4 linked regions of the Styela clava genome follow. Each later gene encodes a partner of the first gene's protein in a complex. Links are inferred from orthologs where the notes say so. Each region holds a gene or a part of one and is shown on either strand. Other genes may lie near its edges. The genes, in order: DNA polymerase alpha subunit B-like, DNA primase small subunit-like, DNA polymerase alpha catalytic subunit-like and DNA primase large subunit-like.

Region 1 (7,485 bases):
ATAAGACAATAATGTACGGTATTAACCAGAAGGGATTGCTGCTTGTTACTGTATAACTAGGTTACGGTATCGGTGCACTCTGACACCAAGAACTCGAACTTATTTACCAACCACACCTGCAAACTCTGCACTATTCAGCTATTGGCAACGTCCTGCAGTGCTTGTACATGCATTCAAACGGCATCGTTATTTTCCCATTTTATTCTGTCATCTTAATCTCATCAGATGAGATAGTTTTTCAAATGCACATATCTGTATATTGGAAATAATGCCTAAAAACTTGAGCACGATTTTAGAACAATATTATTGTATTTTAAGCAAGCGCTTCATTAGGATAGGGAAAATTTTTTAATGGTCACTTTCAGTAACAATCGATACTCTTAATTGCATCTCATGCAGTCATTAATTACAAATATACAGCGTTATGAATTTAACGAAAATAGTTTTGGGTGCTTCTGCTGCTGTTTCATGTGCTGTGGTTGGATATCAGGGCAAAAAGCTAGTGGCCGCACAAAAAGAATATGAATTGGTTCATGTCCAAGTTATATTCCGTCATGGAGCAAGGACACCATTACATATACCATCGTACATTCCTACAGTACGATACGATGAAAGCTTACTAGAACATGCTTCAAAAACCGTCATCCCTTACGAATTAGTAACCTTCTCCTCCAGTCTTCCTGAGAGTCCATTTGAAGAATCGTACAAGCACAGGGGTAAATTGGAAGGGGGCTGTTTGCCTGGTCAATTGACCCATGTCGGAGCAGACCAGATGTATCAATTGGGACTGTATCTTAAAAAACGTTACTTGGAAGATGAAAGGTTTTTGTCTTCATCATACTCAGGCCTGTTAAACGAAATTTACACCAGATCTACAAATATTGAAAGGACAATTATGTCTGCAAGATGTGTTCTGGCAGGTAAATACGATTCTGTACATTTGGATATAAAATTGTGTGGCACCTAAGTAATCTTTGTTAAAAGTCTTTTTCCATTTATGATTTATTGTATTTGAATAACCCAAAAGTATATAAAAGTATAAGACGGACAAACTTGGTTTCATTCAAAAATACAGCTAATATAATTTAATAGTCAATTCAATGTTGTAGAATTATAATGATTTTACTGCTTTTTATGAATGTTCTATTCCATGACTCTCTTGCATTGTTGAAACACTTTAAAAATTTCGGGGTAAAAAATAGCTTTAATTTTTTTATGTGCTTTTAGTTAAAAAAAAAACAAGCCAGTTTTGGCTTCAAAGTGGCGAGTGGAGCGGTCAAGCCCACCTTTTCATACATCCAACTTGGTCCAATCTGGAATCAGGAGACTCTTATTATAATCAGCTTCGCGATATCCTTCAACGAATTTATTTTTTACATTTCACACCTTCACACCTGTTTACTAATTTGGTATTTAATTTGGCAATTTTCTACAAAAATATTAATACAAGGAGGCAGGTTTTTTTTTCATTTATGTGTGTAGTTATCTTTCATTTCTTACTTTTTCTATTGTAATTTTATATAATGTCGCTGTGGTTGTATGTATACATACATGCAAAGAGTTGCAACTTCGCACACATGTATGCACAATTTAATATCTTTTGTTTTTTTATCACAGGGATATTTTCAGGTAAATCTGGAAGCGATGTTCTTCAAATTCATGTCACACCACCAAATGAAGAAATAATGTATCCAAATTATTATACCTGTCACTATCTGCGTCTTCTAACAAGATGGGCATGGTCACATCCTGAGAAAATACCTGGCGTATCTGCAATCGTAAGTTGGAAATGGCTATGTCTTTTCGTATAATTTTTCAATTATCTAGCATTGGAAAACTTTTGAAAATAAAATAACACAACTGTTATATAAGGCAGTATTAGAACCTTGTTACATATGAGTTATAAATCTTAATTGTGAAATGACCCTTTGTTAAGTTTTTGACAATTAAAAACATCAAATTTTATATTTATTTTGTGGGTGATTTTTGCAACCAAATATTTAGAATTTTGGAAGACTATACAGGACAGGCCTAATCCCTAGTTTGATGATGAACATGGCATTTTTACATGAATTTTGTTTTGTTTGAAGCAAGAAATGGTTCGAAAACCTCTAAGTATTTCCGATAAAGACACAGCTGATTTGGTATCGATAAGAGACAATATTGCTGTTGAAGAAGCTCATAACAAGCCATCTGTTGGAAGCAAACTTAGCTTGAAAACACGAGATATAGTGGAAGAAGGTGCAATGAAAATCATGCATACTGCGTTTGTTGGAGAAGAGAATGTCAGGTAGACGATTTAAATATTGGCCTCATCCACCAATAATAGGTAATGATGTGTTGTTTTTATTGATTTCCCACATTGTTCACATGGTATGGCTTTTCTTATCAATTACAAACAATGGCTTTTATGTGATGACTGATAAAATCTGAAACTGCGGCCTTTTGCAACTGTGTAACTTTCGATTGTATTTCTATTCATGGGTAATTTGAAACGCTTGTAAGCTTGAAACGGTATGGTAACTTATTTAGAGTGGAAAATTCTTATTTAATTACTTTCCAACAGGGAAAGATCTTTGAAGCTGGCGATTGGGCCTTTTGTCGATATATTAATGAACAACATAGAAGTGAGGTCAGAGGGCAAAGACTCATCGAATATCAAAATGCATCTTTATTCTGGCCACGACACAACCTTGATACCGCTACTTAGTGCTCTTGGTATAAGGTATGCTCATTGGCCACCATATGCTGGAAATGTTATCATCGAGTTGCATCGCAAAAATAATGCTTCAGGAAAAGAACCAAGTTACTTTGTTCGGATGCTGTACAATGGAGAAGAACAGCCTGTTGGACGATGGATGAAGTATATGTGTCCCCTGAAAGAATTTCAGGATTCTGTGGGCGATATTCGTATTGCTTATGAAGACTATTCAAAGCAATGCATGAAAACTGAAGATTGAAGTTCATCAAATTATCATGTTTTCTCAACTTATTCATAGCATAATAATTTATTTGTTATATTGGGTTATATGCAATTATTTCTTGCTGATTTATCCACTTTATCTATATACCCATGTCACTGCGATTCATACTTTTAAGGAACAAATTAATTTTTGCTTAATTTACACACTCTCACCATACCTGTTGTAATTTGCTCATTTTATGAAACAAAATATACGAATTTATCGACAATAACATGGTACATCATCATATATTATATACAATCAGCACAAGATTTGCCTGAGATTTTGCTTTTTTCAGTTTGCACACTAGGATGTCGTTTAAACTGCGGGACAGAAAAGGAAGATCCATAAGTTGGCCTAATCGCGGGTTTTGGCCGCTGTTTCAAATATGTAGGGCATTAGATGTTATGGATTGCCCAGGGGTGAGCACGGTTTTTGGATCAGGGGCCAAATTTTGTCCACCTAGACTGGCGGGCCATGTAGGTATGATCTAAAATGTTACATTTTATGAACAGTGTTACAAAAGCAACAATGGAAAGCGATAAGCCTCGTGCCAAAACTAAATTTAACCGCAATCTCAACAAATTCCCTGGGCAATTTTCAACTAAAACATCAACATTTGGTTAAGGCAGCATCAGGCGGGCGATTTCGGCCCGCGAGCCGTCTGAACTACGATGATTGAACCTCCTACATGACGAAGTGTATACGTATACGTACCACTTCTGTTGACAACGCCGTTAAATTTGCAGGTTTTAAACATCCAGGCATCGTTTTTTAGAACACATTAATTAAATGCGATTAATTCGTTTATCGACTGTTATTAGTCTGTTCGTTAATTAGTTTGTTTACTCAATATACATGGTGCATGAAATAAGTGAATGTAATTCGATAAAAGCAAAACCAGGTTTTGCCGTTTTGTTTGCTCTTCTATAATCATTTATAGGTGTTTTACGTTTTTGTTTGTTTTTCCCGTTCATGGAGTCAAATAAATTGATACCTATAGGCTACCTATATAACACGATAATACTTTCATCTTTCAAATGAAAAGTTGACAAGAACAGTGCGACGGTGCGGGTGGCATTATTAAGATTCATTCAATCATGGAGACCGATGCCCAACGCTGTCAGATGAGTTCATATTTATTCACTCATCATAGCAATGTCTGATTCTATATTAGTTTCATAAATTAGCATGGCCGCCGGCCGAAAGATATATACGTGTATGCATGGGGTGAGCGTATTTAGTGGAACAGCCTTTCTGAAAAGGTTTCAATTACCAGAACCGATTTATTATAGGAATTTTTAATTTACATTCTGCAGTATCAGTTACTGAACTTTATTCCCATCTTGTATGCAAGATAGCTAACCCTCTGCGACGTAAAAATCAATACGCGCCAGGGCATCAGAAATTTTGTATTAAATTTATTTGTATTTACTTTGAAAAAATTAGGGTATAGACGTAAAAACTTCGCTCTGACTGAATTTCTAATTGGGAAATGTATAAACTTATGTATAAACTTACCGATTGTGCCATCTCGAGCTCGTTGAGGATCTGGCAACACTGTTGAGTTGAGTCGACGCACCTCATTCTTTCTTGTTTTCCCGCCTTTGGGTCCGCAGTGCACAGGCATATGGGTCGGCGTGGCGATGGTTATGGTTTGTTTTATCTCTTGACTGCTTCATGTTGAAGTTAGTGGTTTGTTGAAAGTGTAGCGGTTGGGCAAAACATTCCCCAATACTCCGACTTTAAATTATGGCTGACACAACAGCAGATGACGTGAAAGAGAGCTTGTCTATATTTGATATAAACGTTCAAGATGATGGCACATTAGAAAAAAGTGAGTGAAATTCTAAAGAATATTTTTTGTTTAATTGCCATCAACGACGCTGTTTAATGTGTTTATCGATTTTCTTATCCCAGTGCTTGAAATTGCAACATTGTTCAACTATGATGCAGATTCAATCGTAAATGAATGGCTGGCTTATCAAAGTACACATGGATGTAAGCTGAGCATTGAAAATCTTGATAAACTTCTTCTTGAGGTATTACTTTGTTAAGTAGGCTATGTTTATGGTAGTCTGCTTGCTGTTGAGTTATTTATCATGTAAATATCTATATTACTGTATTATGGTCAAGATTAAATTTTAGATTAGGTTAATAAAACTGCATTAATTTGTACCGTACTCACTCAAAAGACTGCGAGCAGCATTGTACTGTTGTAGATTGTTGAATTCATTGTCCCCTTTTTTTTTTTATCTGAATCAATTTAAAAAAAAAATTTATTGAACGAGTAATTTTAAACAAATTTTTTTCAGTAATATATTTTGTTTCTCAAGAAAACAGTTGGGAAAAATCGTTCAAAGAACAGTTCGACACCTGCATCCAATCGGAAACGAAACCCTTTGGTATTATACACTGCGGATAATATTGCGTCATTGCACGATAGTTCAACTTCAGAAGATGTAGAGGAAAATGATTTATTAAGCGCTTACGGAACTCCAAATCGAGTCAATACTAAACAAAAACGAACTCAAAATATGACACCAAAATCTGCCATTAAGACGAAGCCTACTGATAATATTTCAGCGAGTCCAGCTGTATTTTCGCCCTCTTCATTCTCACCTGGGTAAATATTCTCAAATCTGTATCATACAAAGAATGCTTTATACTGGTGATCAGACAAGGCTTTAAACTTATACCCACCTCAAATCTGAGTCATATAAAATATGACCCTGCCTCTCGATTTTGATTGGCAAAAATTTTGACTCACGACTTTGAATACGATAAAGACCTATTGTTTTCCACTTTTGCTTTTGTAACACTGTAAATATTAGTAATAAAATGTAACTTTTTTACGTCACACTTACATAGCCCGCCAGTCTAGGTGGGCAAAAGGCAAAAGTTTTGACCCCTGGCCCCCAAATCGTCCCCCACCCTGCTTTATCTACTAACAAGACACAACCCCGACTACTACAGCATAGGTTAAGACCGAATTTTTCTGGCATGGTTATTGAATTCCTATGTAATTCACTTGCATCATCGGCACAGATTCAATACTATTCTAATCAGTCAAAATTTATTGATCCCTATATTGAGGAGATAAAATAATGATAAAAGTTGACCTCTCATTCAAATCTCCTAAGGATTTGAGTTGGTGTCTTGCAAAGTATTCTTACTTGCATGGCTCTGATTAATTCCTTATTTTTTATTCCAGCTCAACCTCGTCACAGAAGTATACGAGTCGGAGTAACTCCGGTAGTGTTTTGGATAGTTTTGGTCCGAGTCACGAGTCCATAACAAACCATAGAGGAACGGGAAGACAAATATCCATTGTCGTGGACAAAAAACGCAATATTAGTAAACCATATAAATATATGTTCCAGAAATTGGTGGATTTGTCTGATGGTAAATATATTTACAGAATTCATTGTAACCTATTTGAGTGAGTTCATTTTTCAACTCTGTGGTTTGAAGCATAAGTCGCAAGTGAGCATCTTATATGAACAAATTATTTGGTCATTTTGCGATTGAGCATCTTATATAAACAAATTATTTTGGTCGTTTATGAGTGAGAGTGCATTACTCAGCTTGGAGATTAGTTTTCTTACATTTGTGTGATTGTCAGTAAATTTGCTCAAAGATGAGTCTTCTTCACTTCTGAGTGAGTGCCTGTAACTTTGCCCACAAATGGGTCTTCTCTTTTTCTGAGTGAGTGCACATGAGTAAATTGCCTTGTATATAAATGATCCACTTTTAAGTCAGCTCAGTCAGCCTCAATACATGCTGGTTGGGCGTTACAAAAGTGGTAGAATAATGCGGATGGCTCTCAAATGATTTGTCTCGGAAATTGTTTTAATTTTTGAGATGATTCAATGTCAACCTCAACGTTCGTGAGAGTGGACTGACTTTTTGTATGTATTGTCTGTCCTAGTCTGACAACGTACACAACATGGATGCTCTGTGTTTATATAGTTTGTAAAATATTCTGTATTTTCAGAACGTATTTGGAACAGCAATTTATTTGCTTTTTTTGCCTTCTCTGCAATGCCACAGTATTTATACTCCGATAATTCTATTTTTCTATTTATATAATTTCAGTTTTGGACGAAATGATAGAAAATGCTGCTGAAACTATACAATCGCAAAACTCTTCTGAAATAGATGTTTATTCACCATGTTCAATGCATTCCCAAGAACCTGTTCATATCGTCGGAAGAATCTGCTGCGATTCTAGCGGAGGTGTAGGAAGGTTGAATTCGCAGTCTGTTTTATTACAAGGTGATAGAGGAATTTCAAGCGGAAAATATGTTGCGATTGATTTGAGCCAATTAGAAGAGTTTTCTTTATTTCCAGGACAGGCAAGTGTTTTTTCCCATATTTGTTCTGAGGGAGTCACTAGACAAGCTCTGATGTGGAGTCTACTCGCAAGGAAAAATTGTGCTGCCCGCGGAGAAGTGCCAATTTTGAATGGTCTGCGGCTCGTGAAACGAGTATTTACTTTAGTTTAATCTGATACGATTGG
Region 2 (7,316 bases), on another chromosome or scaffold:
CCGGAAGCATAGGATCAACAAATATAAAAGCGATGGATATTTACCAGGTCAGTCAATTATATATATTATCGGACACGAAATAGACTCATGGCCGTTTTGCCTAATAGTTGTTGTTTTTCTTGCTGAGGCTGTGTCTTATTTTTAGTGTTATGATAAATTGACATTCTTAGCAAGTAATAGACCTATCAAATTTTCATTGCTTGAAGACGAAAAGAGTCGCCAATGCTTCTGATTTAGCTTATGGATGGCGTTGAGAATTTAGTGTCTGGCGTGCGGCAAAGATGAATAGAAACATAGACGTCGCTCAGCGAAACTTTGGTCAAAGATTTATGTCATATTCCACCTTTTTTTGAATATTAGTGTCGGGTATCGGCATTATATGAAATGGCGGCTAATCTGTGCAACCCATAGCGGCTTCAGAGGTTAGAGCATAATTTTTTTTTATATATTCAGAGCGTGTTTCAGTGCTGTGGTGCCAAATCTCCAAAAGACTGGATTCAAGTCGATAAGGAAAACGGAATCGTCTACGATTGGATCCCCCAGTCATGCTGTATTAACTCTTCGGACTGCTCGATATCTCCAAGAAACGTAATTCTTGATGTTTCTTCTACTGCTATCTCAATGACTACGGCCAATCCTGGCATGGGCACCTCAATTCCGTTTTCCCTTGGAAACGATGCTACATTTGATTTTGTTCAAACCCAGATTTACGATAGGGGATGTGACACTGCTATTCAATCTTTCCTAACCTTACACAGTTTGTTGCTATTTGCATCAGCATTCATACTGATTTTATTGCACACATCCTGGGTTATTTGGCGCCGAAATGCTGGACTTCCGTACCTATGTTGTGAATTCAATCGTAGAAAAAATCGAGTTCTACCTATTCATCTCGAAGTTAACGGTAGTCCGACGAGTTCAAATGAAAGCCTATTTTTCTTGCAAAATAAGCTCATAAACAACATCAGCAGCAGTGAAAGCTTTCAACTCATTAATGTCCCAGAGAGTTCGGAGAGTAACCACATAGTTATGAAAAAGCCTGGACCACCGTCAATAACGCGAGTAGGACAGGATATAGCAATTTCTCCCTTAGAAAATCTTCGTTCATCTTTCACTAATAAGGATGAAACGAAATACAGGCCACGCACGTCGAGAGCAAGGCCAAAAACAGGCATTAGTCGATCTGCAGGAAACTTGCCACGTAATGTTTCAAGGATGCTTGAGGAAACTATGTCAGGACATCGACCGCCAACGCCTGCTAAATTGCCTCAACAAGTGATGGTAGTTCATGGTGATAATGAAGATGCTGACACTTTCGAACCTGCTCATTTCTCTGGGCCTGCTTCAAGCAAAGACACATGGGCAACGGCTGTCAATGTTGAAGTTCCCAACACCAAGCGACAAAATGACGACGACAAGCTTTCGATTTATAGCATTGACAGCCTCGAAGGATGGTAAACCATGCCTCATATCTTATATAGCGGGCGCTACCACGCGATGCGGTGCTGAATTTACTTGTTTTTATTTAATGATATTACTCGCATAATAAATAAAAAAATTCATTGGAAAAGCATATAATTTTACTTACAAAATGGGCAGGTTATAAGAAAAATAAATTTCCTTGATCGCTAAAAACCTGCATCATCAATTTCCATCCAGCACTCGTTTATCTAATAAGTGCTTAATTACTAAAGTTATCACTTCTTACTCCAACAGCGGTTGACCCGTTGTTTCTTTCGTGTAGATCAGAGGTGACGAACCTGCGGCCCACGAAGCATTCTGGCAATTCAGTGTATGTTTGGAGTAAAGTCACAAACCTCCATGAACTGTACAGAGAGAATGGGAGCGCAAGTGTTACCGTATTCATATTACTGGCAACAACACTATTTCCAACACATCTATTTTTTTGGATCATCGATACCTCTAACAATGGATCAAAATGACCATTGTCGTAGCATAGTTACGCTCTCTTATCGGCAAACGCATACGGTTTAATAGAGAAGGAGTAATCTCACTTTATGAAAATGCTCAATGAATAAAACAATGGTAGAAAGTACATGGTACAGTACATTAAAAATTGATTTTGCAATAATACGCAGGTAGTAAACTCAAACTTTCGTGTTAAAAATGCTGTGGTATTCGAAAGGGAATTTGGATCTGGAACATCCGAGCCGAGCGTTTATATTGCATTATATAATTGAATAACATCAGCTGTATTGATGCCGTTGTTCGTTTAGTAGATGAAAATCAACAGGTATCATACGGTAGTACGACTATAAATTGTGCGGCCCGCTCACTCAGCGGTGACTGATAAAGTGGCCCGCTACAGCAAATTGGTTCGTCACCCCTGGTGTAGATTCTCTTCTCCATCTGCCTTGCATATTTTCCTTCACTTTCATCTCACTTTTGGTTCTATTTCCATTTCATGTATGTAGGCTACTTTAAATACTAATACCACGTGTCACATATTCAGAATCCTATATTTATACAAACATGGCATATAATCATAATAATCTTGGCACATTTTTATCAAGTTCTAAAATCCAGATTGTTGAATTATAAAATATATACCTGTTTCGACGGGAACTTAGCAGTGACATATTCTATTTAAGAATGGCGCAGTTTGTTCTTTTCTCTTTTTTACTTTGATTAATCATCGTAAGGATGTCGCATAGCTTGTAATAGATTAGTATAGTATTTTCTGAAAGTGCGAGACTTTTTTAGAAGAAGTATACTATCCAGATGAGGCTGGGCCATTTCAAAAATAGCATTTTCGTAGGACATGGCGCGTGGCAAACCCCATACTTCAACGTTCGAGACGAATGTGAAGAATTGATTAAAATATTGAGCATTGAACGTTAGATCCTATTATGAAGAATATAAGGTATTCGTATTTCACAAATTGAATAATCGTCCATACACTAATCGGATAAATTAGATTTTCAACATTGCTTGTAAACAACGTTTTCGTAGTTTGGAGGAGAGGGATGAGATTTTTAATTATATTTGCTATACTGGTCTTATGACAAATGATGATTTTGAAAAAGCTAATCAGTTTATATTTAAAAAATTATGTAAAAACTCCCAATATAAGCAAAAATATCGCACTAGTAAGTTACGCCTAAATGTCAAATTGACGAAATAAAACAAACCAGTCGCCGGAGCGCGAACGTGATGTGAGTATGTGAAAGGGTAGTTTGAGTTTCTTCGCGCGCTTTTACAGTCTTAGGAATTAGGATTCTAGATTCGTCAGGTAATTCTGTGAATCAATAATCTTTTACGGTAGAACTGTAGTATGGAAAATCAGCCACCTGTTTCTTCGCAAATGATGCCCATGGAAGTAGCACCAGAAGAAATCCGCAAACATGGTACCGGTACGCCTCTCGCACAAATCAATCCAAATTGCCCTAGCAAATGTACAGAAACGACATCAGAAGAACAACACGGCGAGTATGAATACCTCAACTTATGCAGAAGGATATTGTCTAAGGGTAAAATAAAGGGAGATAGAACCGGCACAGGAACAATATCTTTGTTTGGTGCTCAAATGCGTTATGACTTGAGAGAAAGTTTCCCGTTGTTGACCACCAAACGTGTCTTTTGGAAAGGTGTTCTAGAAGAATTACTTTGGTTTATAAGAGGCAGCACCAATGGAAATGAATTATCTTCTAAAGGAGTTCGAATATGGGATGCCAACGGCTCTCGTGAGTTTCTCGATAAATTGGGATTTCATGATCGTGAAGTTGGAGATCTGGGACCTGTTTATGGGTTTCAATGGAGACATTTTGGCGCTGAATATGTTGACATGAACACTGATTATACTGGGAAAGGTGTTGATCAGCTTTCTCAAGTAATAGAAACAATTAAAAAGGATCCAGACAACAGGAGAATTATGATGTGTGCCTGGAATGTTACAGACATACCAAAAATGGCCTTGCCTCCATGTCATGCAATGTGCCAGTTTTATGTGTGTGATGGAGAACTATCATGCCAACTTTATCAGAGATCAGCAGATATGGGGCTTGGTGTGCCTTTCAATATCGCTAGCTATTCCCTTCTTACATACATGATCGCTCATATTACAGGCTTAAAACCTGGCGATTTCGTACACACAATAGGAGATGCTCATGTATACAGCAATCATGTTGAACCTCTCAATGAACAGTTAAAACGTGTACCTCGACCATTTCCACTTCTTAAAATAAAAAGACAAATATCAAATATTGATGATTTCAAATATGAAGATTTTGAGCTGGTAAACTATAAACCTCATGGCAAAATTGCAATGAAAATGGCTGTTTGACCAAGGCACACTTGCTAAAGAGTCTTAGACATACACGAGCTATTTGGTGTCAGCACGAACAAGATTATGAACATTTATTTACTATAAATATTTCAGAAACTGCTTACCTATTAAATAATGCAGATATCTGAATAGATTATTTGATAAGTATAGAATGGCCATCCACGATTTTCAGTTGTACACCAGGGTTTTATATTTGTACCATACAATTTTGTACAATACAAAAATGTGTAATCTAAATATGGTTAGATAATCTAAAAATTGACTTTTTAGTCTTGGTACAAAAAATAATACAATCATGTAACTAAATCATGGAAATGTTAAGAAGTGAAGCTGTAAACCAATCATACCAATTTAGGATGCAAAATAAGCACTTCTTCTGTTAGAGCTTTGTAGCCCAAACTTGAAAGTGTTTATTGTACATTCCAGATATACACATTCCTTGCCGCAAGTGGTTATTTATGTCATGTATAGTTTTTGTTGTTATTGTGTCTATTTATCAGTTTACAATTTGTATATTGTTCTTTTTTCAGTATAAAAACACCAAATTTGAATATTCTCTAAACTGGTTATGTCTGAAGAAAAGGAAATCGAAGTTAAAAAAGAAACAACAAATCAAGAGGAATTTGCTTATGACGCATCAAGTCTACCAAGCTTGCTTCCAATTTATTATAAACTCTTGTTTCCTTATGGGCCGTTCTATTCTTGGTTGAGTTACGGAGGTCTCAATAAAACTACATTTTCAAACCGGGAATTTTCGTTCACTTTACAGAATGATATTTATGTTCGATACCAATCTTTTACAAGTCAGCAAGAAATGGAGAAAGAAATCCAGAAAATGAAACCTCACAAAATTGACATTGGAGCCATATTTTCCCATCCACCAAAAGATCATAATAAATATCATAGCGGCATTTTTAAACCTCTAGAAAAAGAACTTGTGTTTGACATTGATATGACTGATTACGATGACGTTAGAAAATGTTGTCAAGGAGCTGATATTTGTACAAAATGTTGGCCTCTTATGACAATGGCTATTAAATTGATTGATAGAGCCCTGAGAGAGGATTTTGGATTCATGCATCGACTGTGGATATATTCTGGTAGACGTGGAGTCCATTGCTGGGTATGTGACGACAAAGTACGAAAATTGCCGAATAAAGCAAGATCTGCGATCGTGGACTACTTGAGTGTGATTCAAGGTGGTAATTTGGAGAAAAGAGTTAATCTTAAAGATCCAGTCCACCCGTTTTTAAGACATTGTATAACCACAATATCGAAGCAGCATTGGGAGGAATACCGACAGGCACAAGAAATTCTTGAAACCCCTTCAGACGTTGAAAAAGTACTAAAAATGGTTCCTGATGCTGAAATGAAGGAAAAATTGAAAACGGAATTTAATAACGATAATCGTACAACTGAAACTAGATGGGAAAGAATAAGAAAAGCCACTGCTGAAAGATATCAAGAAGACATGAAAAAATATCGTAAGCTTCGTTACACGCCACAAGAAATTATGCTAGAATTTTGTTATCCTCGTCTCGATGCCAACGTCAGCACAAGTATTAATCACTTGTTAAAGAGTCCTTTTTCTGTTCATCCTAAAACCGGACGTGTTTGTGTACCAATTGATATAGATAGCGTTGATGATTTCGACCCTTTTGCTGTCCCGACTATCAGCCAACTTTGCCACGAGTTAGACTCACAAAAAGCAGAAAAAACAGAAGACAATTCTGACGGTTCCACTAGAAAGATCCACCTTTATAAAACAACAAGTATCAAAAAACACGTCAAGATTTTTGAAGATTTCGTTAACAAATTATTAGCAGATAGCCGTAAGGAAAAACTTAATCAGAAAGATGCAACAATGGATTTTTGATTGTTTTTATATTGAAACTGATTATTCTCAATCATAATTTTTGTTAGCTAGCAAATTGTTAGCGGACAGTCGTAAGGAAATACCTAATCAGAAAGATTTATATGAACTTTAGATTGTTGTTCGCGTTGACACTGTTTATTCTCAATCATAACTTTTGGTATCTGGATTTGACATGTTGGTAAATTGTAAACAATGTGCTGCTGCAGGTTTTGTTAATATTGGTTTCATTTAGGAAAGAACACTAGGGCTCTAATCAACTTGATAGACCTAATTTTAGCACCCGAACCTCAGAAACACTGCCGATTGGTCATTAGGAAGATATAGTACTGACCATTCAATAACTCCGTGTGGCCTAAAGCATAAAAATTGACCCAGACAAAATAAGCCCCAACCCCTACAAAGCTTCTTGGTAGAATTTTCCCCGGAGACCACCAAAAAATAGAAGATCCCAATTACTTAGTTGTTTAATATTATTTAAAATATGTCAATTTAGCTATAAAATACATATTTTGTAACTCTTTCCACACAATATAGTAAAAATTGTCTATATCCCCATTGGGTGGTTGTCGTGTTTCTAATTGCATAACAATACTGTAAATAATTTTTCACTTTTTTCCTTAGATTTTAAATATGACTTCTAGAATTTCTTATACAATTTTACGTGGAATTTGTAGCAGAGGTTTATGTACAAGTGCTGCACGTCTTGGTTTTCTTCCACATGATCTTTTAAGAAGTGATATGCTCAGTTTGAGCGGCCTTGTCAAGCAAAAAAAGGTAAATTTGAAATGCCTATATACCTTACGCTAGGACAGCGCTGTCTGTGAAAATGCACAGTAGAGGGAAATCAAATTTTGAAAATGAATACTTGACGTATTGATTTCTATTATACGTTATTGACTCTGGAGAAAAATAATGATTTCAGCTCTACGGCGACATGTTATTAATAGGAATTGATTTACGTGTTCGAATCCCATTCAGGGATAGTTAAGTGCGATAGGATTCTTGGACTTCTCACCGCCGTAGGGTTATTCACGCTACCACTGGTCGGTTACGGCTTCCTCCACGATCAGGTCCATGCTTCCAAAAACAAACAACTGACTACTGATCAAATTGAAAAGCCTTTATCCAATCAAT
Region 3 (6,898 bases), on another chromosome or scaffold:
ACAGGTATTGTCCTAAATGTAAAGACCACAAGCAAGCAACAAAGAAGTTTGATTTATGGACATTACCACCCGTTCTCATTATTCATTTGAAAAGGTTTTCATACACACGTTGGTCGAGAGATAAAATAGGAACATATGTTGATTTTCCAACAAGGTTAGACTTATATTGTTCATAATGCACAGTTTTTGTTAACACTTCACAGTGATCTTAATTCAGTTCTGCTATGATCGATTGAAAATAATGGCCTTAGGTGTCTGAATGATGATTTTTATTTTATTCCTTTGATGTAGAGATCTAGATTTGTCTGATTTCATTATCAACCCTGCTAAGAGCAAGTGGCATGAACAAAAGAAGAGATATAATCTGATTGGTGTATCAAATCATTATGGGGGTATGGGAGGCGGACATTATACTGCATATTGTCGTAATTATAAAGATGGAAAATGGTATTATTTTGATGACAGTAGTGTTACTGAAAGCTCCGAAGACAAAGTCAAGGTATGTCATTCAATACTATTACATGGCGTTAATAGGGCCCGACCGATAGTGCCTTTTTGAACAGATACCGATAGTTTTCTGAAAATAGGCCGATACCGATGTTTCCTCACCTACAAATTAACAAGCAACAATCTGAGAATATTGTGTTTTTCTTGCAAAAGAAATGAAATTTTGAACTCATGCAATTGTGTGCGTGGCAAGAAAGAACATTTATTGTAAGGGCAGGAAACTTATGAATCTCAGAAGCTCCAGTTCAACAGTCTCAGATGTAGTTGAGCAGAGTTTTTCTGCATTGGCTCCTATGCTTTTCTGCATTGGCTCCAATCATACTTGCTCTTGTGTTTTGCTTTGAGATGGCTCTACAAGTTATACTTATACTCATCTTTTTTTTTAAATCGGCGGTACCCTTCGACTTAATAATGATAAGCATATTTTACAAATTACGCCATCATTATGGCACACAAAGTATTACCATACTTTGCTTTTGCTCTCACCGCTAGAACCAGCCGTCTACAACATATCAATACAAGAAGTTAAATCGCGCCTTGAACGAACTTGTATTATTATTTGACACAAATAGGATGTGCACACGTTTCTCTCGCTTCAATTTGCAAGCCACCACGTCCGTTTTGGATAAGAGAGACGCAGTCAAAAGCCGCTTTTTGATAAGAAAGAAATAGAATTAACGAAGAAAAAGAGTATTAGGCAGAACCACTCTCAATGAAACAAGCGATAAAACTGCTTTCCCTGCGTAATTTTGACACCTTGGCAGTCACATGATTGGCCGATATATATCGGTAAAATTAGCCAGCCGATACGGATAGTTCGAAATTTATGAAAAAACATGGCTGATATATCGGTCGGGCCCTCATATTAACATCTTTTGTCCTGGAATATTTTTATATTAGTCAGCGATGATCTCTATGGCGGGACAAATATAGAGATACCTGTAGTGTATATAGAGTGTATGATTACACTAATTTCATTTCGCATGTTCATCGTGAGGAAATAAACGAGTTTCGGTCAGTCCATTTTGCCCGAAGAAAGGTTTGCAAAGCTAATTGCACATCCACGTTACATAACTGCAACGTTTGGCAGTTCTTATATTTGCAAGTAATTTTTCAACTATGAAAGTTAGCAAGTCAGCACTCCGCACACGACTAATGGACGAGCATTTGCATGCTGTCCTGAGACTAGCAAAACACCGCAAAATAAGGCCATTAATCGGAACCAAATATCCAGCACAAGTAAATGCATATGTTTTATGTATCGTTTGCTGTACGATTCAAGTGTAATTTTAACACGATACATTCAGATATCCATTTTTGTACCTTATTTCTTGGTTTACGGCCCGCATGGTCAATAAATTTCAAAAAGTGGCCCGCGACATGGTTTGAGTTCTATAGAGATACAAATTTGGTCAAATTCATTTTGTTTCTTATGAGATGACACAGATGAATGAAACTGCATAGAAATTTATAAACGTGATTCATCATTTTTCAACAGACAAAAGCTGCTTATATGTTGATGTATCAGAGACAAGACATTGAGGAATGGGTTAACAAAGAAGGAGATGATGATTTCAATTTCTTGGAATCAATGGTGAGTCCAAGGAGCTGCCACGTTCGAGGATTCGATTTTAACATGAGTGAGAAAAAGAGAGAGCAACTACTCAACGGAAATGATTCAAATTTATCTAACTGTGGTGAGGAAGAAATGGATACCAGTTGATTATGAACTGAATGTCATTTTTTGCACGCAAAGTTTTTGTAAAGCACATAAATAATTTTGACGACTTTATTTTTCAAAAGATTAGAAAATTTGGTATTGTATCGCTTTCCTTAAAATAACATGTAGAGAAATTACAAATGAAAAATTGCTTAAGCAATGTCATTCTTTGTATTTGATCCCCGATGAAATATCTTGTTAATTCATGCCTCATTATGTATCTTTTTATTCAAGATATTTATTTATCTGCAATTTAAAAGTTATGGAAGCTAATGTTATCTTGGCCTACCGCAACTTTTTAGGGACTACCGGTAATCCACGGCCACTGCAACTTAACTAAAACTTTTGGGGTAACAAAATGACCACTGAAATTATTGCATCATCTTTGACATATTTTAAGTAGATGCTCTGGGTAGCATCCTTGTTAGCATGACCTCGTTAGTCACAGCTGAACAGGAATATCTTGTATGCGACGACCTGTTTGTGAACGAATCTACTTATCATATTTAGTTTGATCTGATTGACTGATTATTTTGGAAAGTTCTTTTATCGATATGTATTTCTATATTTCGTCATTATCTCGTGAGTTCAATTTGGTTCCAATTACTTATATCAAAAGATACACTTTTTTTATTTTGAGGTTGAAATAGGTTACTCTGCTCATCTACAATATCATAGAGCTCATTTATTCTTCATTGATTATTTGTACAAATATAGAATAGCAATATAATTGTTAATTCCATGGTATTGAAATCTCAATTGGTTTATAGCCACACAAATATAGAATAGCAATATAATTGGTAATGCCATGGTATTGAAATCTCAATTGGTTTATAGCCACTATGATTTATATTTCATAATTTTTATTGTACCCTTCTGGCCTGCATGTTTTTTTCTTGCTTATGTTCCTGTATTGTCTACTTCTGCTTCATTCATTGTCTTTACCTCCTGTATTATCTTGTGATTAAAATGTTCATGAGAATATGCAGAACTTAATTTATGGGCAATCTTGTTGATATTTGACCAGGTTCTTCCAATTTTTTCAGAAAGAGATAATTTCTGAACCTCGTGATTGAATGTCATAGATTCCACTTGTAACCAGAGGAATAGTTGTGTGACCAGATTATTCATTTTTCTCATACCTCTGGTAGAAAATGTAAATTGGATAAATATAAATTGATTTTGCTGATGCAATGTTTTGGTTTCATGCCTATTTATAAGGATCACATATGTATATCATTTCAATTAATTATTCTTATATATGAGTATGCGAAATAAAGAGAAATTACAGTAGAAGTTGTCGTTTTCATATTTAGCAACAGTTTAAAGGCAATTGCGAGAGTGCCCAAACGATGTTATAGGCAGTGGTGGAATTCAGACGATTCGCATCGGTTTTGGAGAATCGTCTCACGGAATTTTATCAGCTAACCGGTTAGCATTACTGGTTGCTGTCCATGTTCTGTTTGCAACAGAATGACGAAAAATTTGACAGTTCACCACTGGTTATAGGTTGTATACAAGCGTCTTTTCAGATCAAGGTAGTGAAACTGCCTGAATGAGATTGGCCGTGAAGTCAACCGTAGTTGACAACACGCTTAGTGTCGAACGATTTTAAAAATTTGCAAAGGAGAAAAAAACAAGATAAAGTCACAAACTGCTGCACGCGATGTGGAAATCTCTTACAAAACCACTGGACCGCGACAGCGTGGAAAAGGGCAAAATGTGCTTTCCCGCCATTTTACCTCCAACGTAAAACGTGCTGCAGGTGTTTTAGAGGCAGGAATTCTCCGATTCCCAGGTACAGTATAACTTCGATATTTTTTTAATTTGATAACATTATAATTAGGTATAGGCTACTAATTAGCAATAGGGCTGATATACCGCGTACGGGTATAGCGCAACCCTGTCTGCCTGTAACGTTGTCTGGTTATTTGGAATATTATGAAGTTCAGAACATTTGACATTCATAGCTTAGATTTATGGTACCGGTATGGCTTTTTGGAAATCTGGAAATAATAGCGTACTGTTGCTGTATTGCAGCTCAAACCGAATAATCTTAGGATCGATCCAATGTATTTAAGGAGCAGACGATTTTGAATTTGGAAATGCAGCAAAAAGCAAAATCTGACAGATTTGTGGATGAACAATCTGCTGATCTGACAATGATTTGATTCATTTTCAATTTTTTTATATGATGCACTTTAAAATGTATCTCCTAAGTTACATCTATTGGTTAACTAATTAATGTAACTCATAAGTTATGTCTGCTCAAAATAAAGACTGTAAGAAGTTGAACGATGTTGGTTATATTTCTGTATTTCATTGTACTGTACGGCACACTATCTAAATTCTGTGAATTTCCTTCCATCTGGTTCAGTAAAACAAACATTCCATGTGTCTCACAAATGAGGGGCGTCTGACACCACGTCAGATGCTTCATATCATGTCATGTTTGTCTCAATGCCGTACATGATCAAAATTGCTGTTTTTGCTAAAAACTTTTGAATGTCACGATTCATTATACTGTATTTTTACCGATATTGAGGAACAACAATGTCCAGACGCCTCCCAAAGAAGGGGTGTCTGATCATTGGTAAAATGGGTTTCTCTGAAACGAGATAAAGTCGCTCGATCTGTATAGTGTGCCATCCTGTTGTATGTTAATGAATTTTCATCTCGGACTGTTGATAGAGAGATACTGAGATAGAGGAATATTTTATAGTCTACAAAGTGTCTGGCTTGTTGGGGCATCTGGCACAACGGCAGATGCGTAATATCGCGCCATGCTTGCCTCGATAATAGTCTAAAATCTAAATTAATCGCGGCTGTCACATGCTGACCTGACCAAAATTGTCGTTTTTTGCTAAAAGCTCTTGAATGCCACGGTAGAAATTTCTTTCCTTCTGTAAATCGGATTATTTTTTCCTGAGGAATTCAATGATGACGTTTTTAGATTGCGCTCCTTTGTAGTTTTTTGTGCAACTTCATTTTACTGTATTTTTACTGATATCGAGGGACAACAATGTCCAGAAGTCCCTGAATAGAGATCGGCAAAATGGGATTCTCTGGAACGAGACAATGTCTCTCGATCTGTATAGTGTGCAATACTCTTCTTGCATCCAGTATAGCAAATATATTTTATTCAATATCTAGCCCTATTATGAGAACAAAGCCCTTAGTTTTTACTTTCAAGCTTTGTCATCAGATATCTCCATATTAGTTTATGTCAAATATCAGCATAGTGAAGCATCTGATATATCTGCATTCCGCTGTGCAATGTACCTTTGCTTGGGATGTGGCTGTGTTTTTCCACTGTTTGAAATTAAATTTATTTTACAGAAAAATTGAAGCACATGTAACGCATCCACATTAAATCAATGTGAAAAGATTGCCTGAAGAAATAAACTCTATAAAATGTCTTCTGCCAATGATGATGCTGAGGATAATGGGTCATCCACGCAGGGTAAAATTGCTACAAATGTCTATATACAAATTTGGCAATCAAGAAGCTAAATTATGGTCTTATTTGAATCTGTACAACTGGAATAATGTCCCATGTTGTCAAGAATTTGTTTCAATAAATGAGGTTCAAGTCAGCTTGGTTATTCTCAGAAAGAATTAATTTGCTTATCTATTCTTATTAACAAAATTATTATTTCAAAAATTAAATAAATTACAGGGCTTGCATCAACCAGGTCTAGAAGAGAACGCAAAGATAAAACTGGTAGAAAAGCGATGTTAGAAAAACTGAAAGCTGCAAAAAATAAAGGAGAACGACTAAAATATGAAGTAAATGATTCTGTTGAATTTTGTGTGAAATATTATTCATTGATAATTAAATATATATATTTATGGAATGGATCCAAAGTTAACCAATTTTGATAAACTGTTGTCGCTGACAAAATTCATTTTTATGTATCAAACGAACTAATTGCTTTCAAATTTTCGATAGTATGGACCATAACCTCAATGTTCACCTAAAATTTTTAATAATATAGCCACCACTGCCACTTGATTTTTTAGAAATTATCTGTGTTGTAACCAGTGGCGCAACCAGGCTGTTTTCAACGGGGGGGTCCGACCGGAATTTACACAGTGCAACCACGACGTAAGTCGCAACGCCACTAGGTGTCGGCCCGCTGACCACGATAAATTGCTCATGGTTAAAAGGGAAACGCCATCGATTAAATCCCAGCCTTTCGCTTACTTTGCACTCGTTCATTAACGGCGCTTCGTTATGTCTTGCACCTCGTGGGTAGCAAAACGTCGTTCATTACATTCTAGCGAATTGCTAACGAAAAGCTGTTAATTATTTTCAACGTTTCCCTCGCTTTGCGCCTCGTGGATAATGAAACACGGCTTGAATAAATTCCAGTGTTTCATTCGTGCCGCGCCTTGCTCGTTGGGTGAATTCGTCAAGACTAAAAACAAAATGCACTTCTTGCGAATGGACCTTTTCCCGACCCTAACCTCAGAAAAATTCTAAACTAAACTGAAGCTCACCGGAAGACATAATGACAATTAAAATAATTGATTTACAACTAATTTTTGGAAACACAACTAAAAACTGACTAATTTAATGCAGGGATGTCCAAATCGAATTTAAATTCAAATACTGTTTTTTCGTGTTTATAATAATCCCGAATATGGCGCACATATCCTAGCGTCGTC
Region 4 (7,082 bases), on another chromosome or scaffold:
AAATTGAGTCGTTCTTCAAGTCAAAAAAGTCAACATTGAGGTGCTAGTTGGTCAGTTAACTGCAGTGGATGGTCTTACATTTAATCAAATTGCCAAAAGTGAGAGGCTACATCAAGCGTTCAAAACTGATGGTTATACGCTGCCCAAATCACACAAACGTGTTCGTAGTCTGGTGATGGAAAACTTTGAAACCGTCAAGAAATTAGTCAAGGAAGAGTTTTGTGCAACCAAACTGAATAATGGTCGTTTTTCCATAACATTTGATGTTACAACATCCGCAAGAAATCGTCGTTACATGAACATTAATTGTCATTTTCAAGGTGGCTTTCATTCGCTGGGATTGATTCGCATCCACGGCAGCATGGACACACAAAAAGCAATCGACTTAGTTGGTAATCGACTAAACTCCTTTGGTCTCGACCTGAATACAGCTATTGTTTCCACAATCACTGATGGTGCTAGTTTGATGGTAAAATTTGGAAAAGAGACGGGTCCACTCCATGTGATCTGCTTTGCTCACGCGATTCATTTGGCCGTTTGTGACGTGTTATACAAAAGGCAACCGGTCGCAGTATGCTCTGATGAACTTGACTGTCACAGTGACAGTTCAGACGAAGATGACAACGACTCAGAACAACGCGAGGATTTCGGATTTTCTTTAACTTTATCTCCCAACCTTGACACATTGATCAAGAAAGTCAGAAACATCGTGAAAATATTCAGAAGGTCGCCTGTGAAAAATGATGATGCTCTTCAACCATTTGTCTTGAAGTCTTTTGGAAAGGAAATTACACTACTGCTCGACTACAAAACCCGATGGAACAGTTTGCTCTCAATGCTAGAGAGATTCTATCAGCTACGAAAAGAGGTAAAATTGGCTCTAGTTCGACTGGATATTGATTTTGACTTATCTGAAAATGACATGAAAATTATCGAGGGACTGTGTGATGCTCTTGCTCCCATAAAAGTTGCGTTACACTCTCCAGTGAAGATGCAGACATTCTTTTAGCAGAAAAAGTAATTGCATTTACTTTAAAGAAGCTTGGTGATCAGAAAACTGGAATCAGCCAGGCATTAAAAGACCGGTTCAAAGCACGAATTGAAGAACGGCGGAATGCTGAGTTGGTCCATCTATTGAAATATTTAAAAAGTCCGTCTTATCTTGATCAAGTTCAGGATCAATTTGGGCACAGAGTAAAGCGGCCCAGAATTGCTGCTCTGGCCATGGGCATCTTGCAGAGATTATTTCCTCAAGAGGCTTACAATGCGGGCTACATTGTGCATATTGATGTTGACAGTGAAATTCTTGACGAAGAAAAGAAAATGACTTTAGCAGAGTAATCCACAGTTTTGTGGAAGATGACGAAGTAGAAGACAGGCGACCTGGCAACCTGAGCTCTAGTGTAATTCAAAAAGAGATGGTACTGTATGAAACAAGCAAAAAGAGACCTGAAAACCTTGAAAAGTTGTACGCTGCCCTAAAAACAATTAAACCCACGTCCGTCGAGGCAGAAAGAGCGTTTTCTGCCCTTGGATTTTTCGCAAACAAAATAAGAAGTCGTATGAACGATAACACCCTAGATGCTTTAATATTTCTGCGTCGATATTACATGAAATAAATATGTGATTTTATTGTGATGCAACTTGTTTCAATCTTTTACTCAATCCCGAAAAAATCCCGGGATTTTACGGCTCAATCCCGGGGTATCCCGATACCATGATTTCAAAAACTAGTCCCTAAATCCCAACCCTAGCCAGAAAGATGAACGTTCGTGTTTTTATCCTTATTTATATGTTTGTTTGTGTAATATGTTTGAACTGGCATATGTATTTCCACATGTTTCATCCCTTTCTAGAGGTTTTTGCCAGTTTTCCCAATCTTCTTCATTGTTTTGTGTATGTTTTTTAGGCATGTTATGTATCGCCGAAATCAAAATAAACTTATAAAACAGAGCGAGAAATATCTACAGATTTTTTCTTGGGTTAAGGGTCAGGTAAACAACAACCATAGTTTGCGCGGGAAAGATTCTCACTAATATGAAGTCACAGCAGTGACGCAGAATTCAAGAATTTGTGATAAGAGTTAGGTACGGTACCGGTACTGTATCTTATTTATTATAATGTGTAATTATTGTAATGTGCGAACTAAATGGTGCGAAAACCCATCTCTAATGTCTGTATGTATTTCAGTAATTACTTGGTGGTGGAGGAAGCCGTAACCGACCAGCGGTTACGTGAACCACCCAACGACGGCGAGCAGTCCAGCAATCCTCTCGCACATAACCATCCCTGCATGGGATTCGAACCTGCGAACCCACGCAGAGTAATTAGAGGTGCGGTGGCGAGCGTATTCCTAACGCTTAGCCCGTTGAGCCACACCGCCGCGCCTGTACCGTACAGACATAATATTTTCAACACACAGAGTTTCTCTGAAATTATTAAAATGCATGATATAGTCTATGCATTATATAAAGCCTAAGTTAGAATAGTTTATTCAGGTGTATCCATTTCCCGATTTCTTAAAAATGCCAATCTAATGATTATTTGTCCTACTGTCCTATGTGTATGGAAGTCATGAGTCCAGATGACTAGATGAAGTCATTTTTTCTATAGACCTGTAGATCCTACTGCCCTGTGACGGTTCAACTGTAAAGAATTCACTATTTACAGAAATTAAGGTATCAGGAACTTATCAATTTTTAATAAATGAGGCTGAGCTGCCGAGAGTTGAAGTTTACTGTAGTAAATTTCACTTTACTGCTTTACCACACTGACTATTGTATAATGCTGTTTTTGTATAATCTCACTAATGTTTCATCAATAGTCTGATAGCACACAATGAGTTTGTCGGTAAAATTATAGGGTCTAGTATAGTTAAGTACCACAAGTACTTCCAGTGGGCGTAGCATAACGATTTTTGCATATGTTATTCCTAACTCTCACCTGACTATGCCATCCATTACGTCACCATCACGTCATAGGGATTGCCAAAGTATAATTACGATCGCCCGAAATGGAATCTGCGCCGCCGATAAGAACTTGCTAAAGCCGGCGATCTCTCTCCTATCGTGATCGTTGCGACGAGAAAACGAGAGAAATCGCTTGCTCGATTTCGGGTTATCGTCTGCGCGTTTTGGACGACCATCCGCATACTTCGATGGGCCTTATTACGCCACTGTGACGTCGGAATGACGTAATTTTTCGGTGACGTAGTCAGGTGGGGGTTAGGATTGACATATGCAAAAATTGTTGAGCCAGGCCAACTAGAAGTCGATGTGGTACTAAACTATACCAGACCCAACTTATAGACCAAACATTGGTAAACCCAATGGGACAAGAGAGAGAGTTTATTATTTTTGTTTTGATTGGGAGATGGCGATACGGCCAAAGGTCATCAAAGTCAGCCACCACCCATTCCAGCCAAATACGGCTGTTTCAGTACAGCACACTATCCAAATTCCAAGAATTTCCCTCCATTTGGCTCAATAAAACAAACCTCTGTGTCTCACAAACGAGGGGCGTCTGGGACTACGTCAGATGTTTCATATCGCGCCATGCTTGTCTCAATAATAATCTAAATTAATCGCGGCTGTCACATGACCAAAATTGCCGTTTTTTGCTAAAAACTCTCGAATGCTTCGGTAAAAAAATTTTTTCTTTGGTAAATCGGATTATTTGTTCCCAAAGAATTCAATGCTGACGTTACTAGATTGCGCTTTTTTGTAGTATTTTGCGCAACTTCGTTATACTGTATTATTACCAATATTGAGGGACGGGATGTTACCCGATTTGTATAGTGTGCCGTTTTGTGTTTGGGTAATACAATCTGGCCCACCTGATGCTGCTAAACTAAACTACAGAACTAACACCAAAGTTTGATGTTGAAGGTAAAAAATAGATCAAAGAATTTGTTTGGATTGCGTTTAAATTTAGTTTTGAGACGAGGCTTATTGTTTTCCACTTTTGCTTTTGTAACACTGTAAATATTATTCATAAAATGTAACTTTTGTGTCACACTTACATGGCCCAGGTCCAAAAACCTTGCCCACTGCTGTTATAGACCCTTATCCTATGCACATTTTATCCATAATATTCAGAGTGAGTCCAGTTAAAAATGTGAATTGCTTAATTGAGCAAGGCAATAATGAACTATACCAACCCAAATGGATTTTAGTTAAAGTTAATTGAATGCCATAATGGTTGCTTGTTTTTCAGTTTTTGTATTTATTGTAATAGCAGTTTCTTCAAAACCTAAAAAATGCAGTTTGGTGGAACACCCAAACCATCTGCTTCTAGAAGAAAGCGACTTCGATTGGCGGATGGCTTATCTGATGACCTTTACCCTCACGGTTTAATGATGTATAACAGACCACCAATGTGCAACATCACCCTCCAAGAATTTGAATCATTTGCATATGATAGAGTAAAAGTTTTGCACTATTTGGATTCATTAGGAGTGTCTTATGTCAAAAATAGTCCAGATTACTGCCAAAAACTTGGAGACTATTTAAGAAAAAATTATGTTGGGTTTACATTAACATCTGAGCCATCGAAAGATACAGAAGAAAGGAATTTAGAATGGCGTCGTAAGGATCACATTTCCCACTTTATTCTCAGACTGGCGTATTGTCGTTCCGATGAACTTCGTCGTTGGTTTTTGGAAAAAGAGGTGGATTTATTCAAATATCGATTTAATTGTGAATCAACGTCAAGTATCAAACAATTTTTAATGTTGAATGATATGACTTATTATCCAATCTCAGAGGAGGAAAAAGAAAAGTTTTCTGCGCATCTAAAATTGATATCCTACGATATGACTCAGTCTAAGGTCCAGTCAACTAACTTTTATAAAGTTCCTTTCACTGATGTTTTGAATCTTGTATCATCACGTCGTGTGTTTATCAACTCAGGTTATGCCTATGTTCCACAGTCAGAGTTGATATCCATCATTAGCACACGTTTTCGTGAACACCTATCTAAAGCTTTAGCTCAGACTTCAAGATCACTACCTGAGTTAGAAGAGGATGATAGACTCTTGCCTATACTTAGGGGATTCAATAAAAACACTCTTGCTGAAGCATACGATCCAAACAAAAATGCTGGCAAAGTATCTATCAAGCAAATTGATGAATTATCTAAAATCTCATTTCCATTATGTATGCGGCAATTGCATCAAGTTTTGCGTGAGACTCATCATCATAAGCACTGGGCTCGTTTGCAGTATGGACTTTTCTTAAAGGGCATAGGTGTTACTCTTGAGGAATCAATTAAATTCTGGAAAGCTGAATTTAGTAAAGGAGTTGGGGAAGAAAAATTCAACAAAGAGTATTCCTATAATTTCCGACATATGTTTGGTCGTGAAGGTAAAAGAACAAATTATGCTCCTTATGGTTGCATGAATATTATAATGAAAAATGTACCAGCACCTGGTGAACACCACGGTTGCCCTTTCAAACACTCATCTCCAGAACTCTTAAAACAACGCCTCCATCACTATAAAATACCAAAAGACTCAATTGACGAGATCATTAAACTAATGAAAAGCCAGCATTATCAAATTGCTTGTACAAAATACTATGAGGTGACACACAAAGTTGATGAAGCAGGTTTTCAACTTAACCATCCAAACCAATACTTTGATGAAAGTCAAATGCTCTTGAAAGGTGAGAAAAAGACCACCGGGCTGAAACCTAGTCAAGGAAATGCAGAATTTACTCCGAAGTGGTCACAACCAGTTCCTGAATCTCAAACTGAAGAATCAGAAATGGAATTGGATGCCCTAATGACAGAAGTTGATGTTTAAACTGCTGGAAATAATATTACAGCCAATATTAATTGATGTTTATTTATCAATATGTTAAATCATACTTTATATTTCTCAACATATTTTGTGCAGCAAACTATGGTGTGAATGTATGACCAACCGTGAGCCACAGGTTCAAGTCATGATCATGAATGGCCCAGGATTGCAATTCTGGAATATGTAAATTACAATTTATATGATTAAAGGAGAACAACTGTTTTTTCTATTGTCACTGATGTTTAGACTCTGTAGTTTATAGACATTGGGAAGGTTTGAAGTTGAGTATATGAGAAATTCACATGTTATTGTGGCTTGTGCTAATGGAACTTTATTTGCATCCTTTAAAACAGGGGTAGGCAAATTACAGCCCGTTGGCCAGATCTGACCCACTTGTCTGCTGAAATTATGATTATAGTCTTTATAAATATATGTTTCTGTTGAGAATATCGATGATAATCACGTCATAATGACCCCGATCGTTCAATTGTGCTCATTATAAAAACGTTAGCAAAGTTGTTGGACTAGCTGTTGTGAATAAACGGTTTTTCATTCATAGTTTTTTTCATATATATGGACATATTGAGCCTCCAGCTCAGTACTGAAGCCTATTATCTGTAACTTGCCCATCAAGAAAAGTTAATTGCCTACCCCTGCTTTAAAAGAATATTCAATGATAAAATGCGATGTATTTTTGCAGTTTACCTAATACTATATTGCTGAAAAATATGACAAACAGTTTAAATATGGCATGCTAACTTTCAAGTTGGTCAGAAATCATGTGTCTTGAGAACGCTTCATTAGACAAACAATAGACAATAAGTTTATTTCGTCGTGCAATTAGTATGGATGCTAACCGCTGAGACAGCTATGCCTTTGAAGTGATTTGTGACACATGCCACAGGTTATTCATTTTACTAGTTTATACAACCTGATATAAACATATTCCATCATAGCTAATTTTATCGAATTACGTACGTTTCCCTAAAAAATAAAACCAACGTTTTTTGCGCTTGTTGGCGCTTTCGTTCTCTCGCATGAACTTGTAGGATACAGAATTTTCGACGCTCTATAAGTATAATAAGTATAAGTTTATTTCGACTCCATAATCAGCATAACAATACATTTGACAGATAAAAACAAATAAATAAAAACTGATTATGAAATCAGGGGAGCAAACAAAACCTTAGATAAGGTTTATAACGTACAAAATATAAGATGGAAGGTTTTGCCAAGAGGAAGTGGTACGTGTTTACTCACCTAAAATTATTAAGTTATTTCA

What was found.
Region 2: DNA polymerase alpha subunit B-like (region 1) and DNA primase small subunit-like share a complex: the UniProt entries of both Drosophila melanogaster proteins name them as parts of the alpha DNA polymerase complex. The link is inferred for Styela clava from reciprocal best matches to the Drosophila melanogaster genes PolA2 and Prim1.
Region 3: DNA polymerase alpha subunit B-like (region 1) and DNA polymerase alpha catalytic subunit-like share a complex: the UniProt entries of both Drosophila melanogaster proteins name them as parts of the alpha DNA polymerase complex. The link is inferred for Styela clava from reciprocal best matches to the Drosophila melanogaster genes PolA2 and PolA1.
Region 4: DNA polymerase alpha subunit B-like (region 1) and DNA primase large subunit-like share a complex: the UniProt entries of both Drosophila melanogaster proteins name them as parts of the alpha DNA polymerase complex. The link is inferred for Styela clava from reciprocal best matches to the Drosophila melanogaster genes PolA2 and Prim2.

What each region holds. Positions count from the first base shown.
Region 1 is NC_135264.1:10,461,603-10,469,087, forward strand, and holds the start of DNA polymerase alpha subunit B-like, read left to right. Parts: upstream 1-4,479; 5' UTR 4,480-4,715; coding exon 4,716-4,800; intron 4,801-4,883; coding exon 4,884-5,005; intron 5,006-5,299; coding exon 5,300-5,589; intron 5,590-6,177; coding exon 6,178-6,368; intron 6,369-7,061; coding exon 7,062-7,321; intron 7,322-7,485. Other genes in the region: lysophosphatidic acid phosphatase type 6-like, read left to right, coding at 425-920, 1,618-1,778, 2,091-2,290, 2,567-2,960. UniProt on the Drosophila melanogaster protein: Accessory subunit of the DNA polymerase alpha complex (also known as the alpha DNA polymerase-primase complex) which plays an essential role in the initiation of DNA synthesis.
Region 2 is NC_135258.1:14,386,584-14,393,899, forward strand, and holds DNA primase small subunit-like, read left to right. Parts: upstream 1-4,870; 5' UTR 4,871-4,874; coding exon 4,875-6,182; 3' UTR 6,183-6,804; downstream 6,805-7,316. Other genes in the region: uncharacterized protein LOC120339549, read left to right, coding at 1-47, 454-1,458; thymidylate synthase-like, read left to right, coding at 3,296-4,303; large ribosomal subunit protein mL48-like, read left to right, coding at 6,813-6,956. UniProt on the Drosophila melanogaster protein: Catalytic subunit of the DNA primase complex and component of the DNA polymerase alpha complex (also known as the alpha DNA polymerase-primase complex) which play an essential role in the initiation of DNA synthesis.
Region 3 is NC_135256.1:23,488,844-23,495,741, forward strand, and holds the start of DNA polymerase alpha catalytic subunit-like, read left to right. Parts: upstream 1-3,896; 5' UTR 3,897-4,025; intron 4,026-5,566; 5' UTR 5,567-5,641; coding exon 5,642-5,690; intron 5,691-5,906; coding exon 5,907-6,016; intron 6,017-6,898. Other genes in the region: ubiquitin carboxyl-terminal hydrolase 15-like, read left to right, coding at 5-154, 292-499, 2,006-2,230. UniProt on the Drosophila melanogaster protein: Catalytic subunit of the DNA polymerase alpha complex (also known as the alpha DNA polymerase-primase complex) which plays an essential role in the initiation of DNA synthesis.
Region 4 is NC_135261.1:19,112,282-19,119,363, reverse strand, and holds DNA primase large subunit-like, read left to right. Parts: upstream 1-4,186; 5' UTR 4,187-4,258; coding exon 4,259-5,803; 3' UTR 5,804-6,577; downstream 6,578-7,082. UniProt on the Drosophila melanogaster protein: Regulatory subunit of the DNA primase complex and component of the DNA polymerase alpha complex (also known as the alpha DNA polymerase-primase complex) which play an essential role in the initiation of DNA synthesis.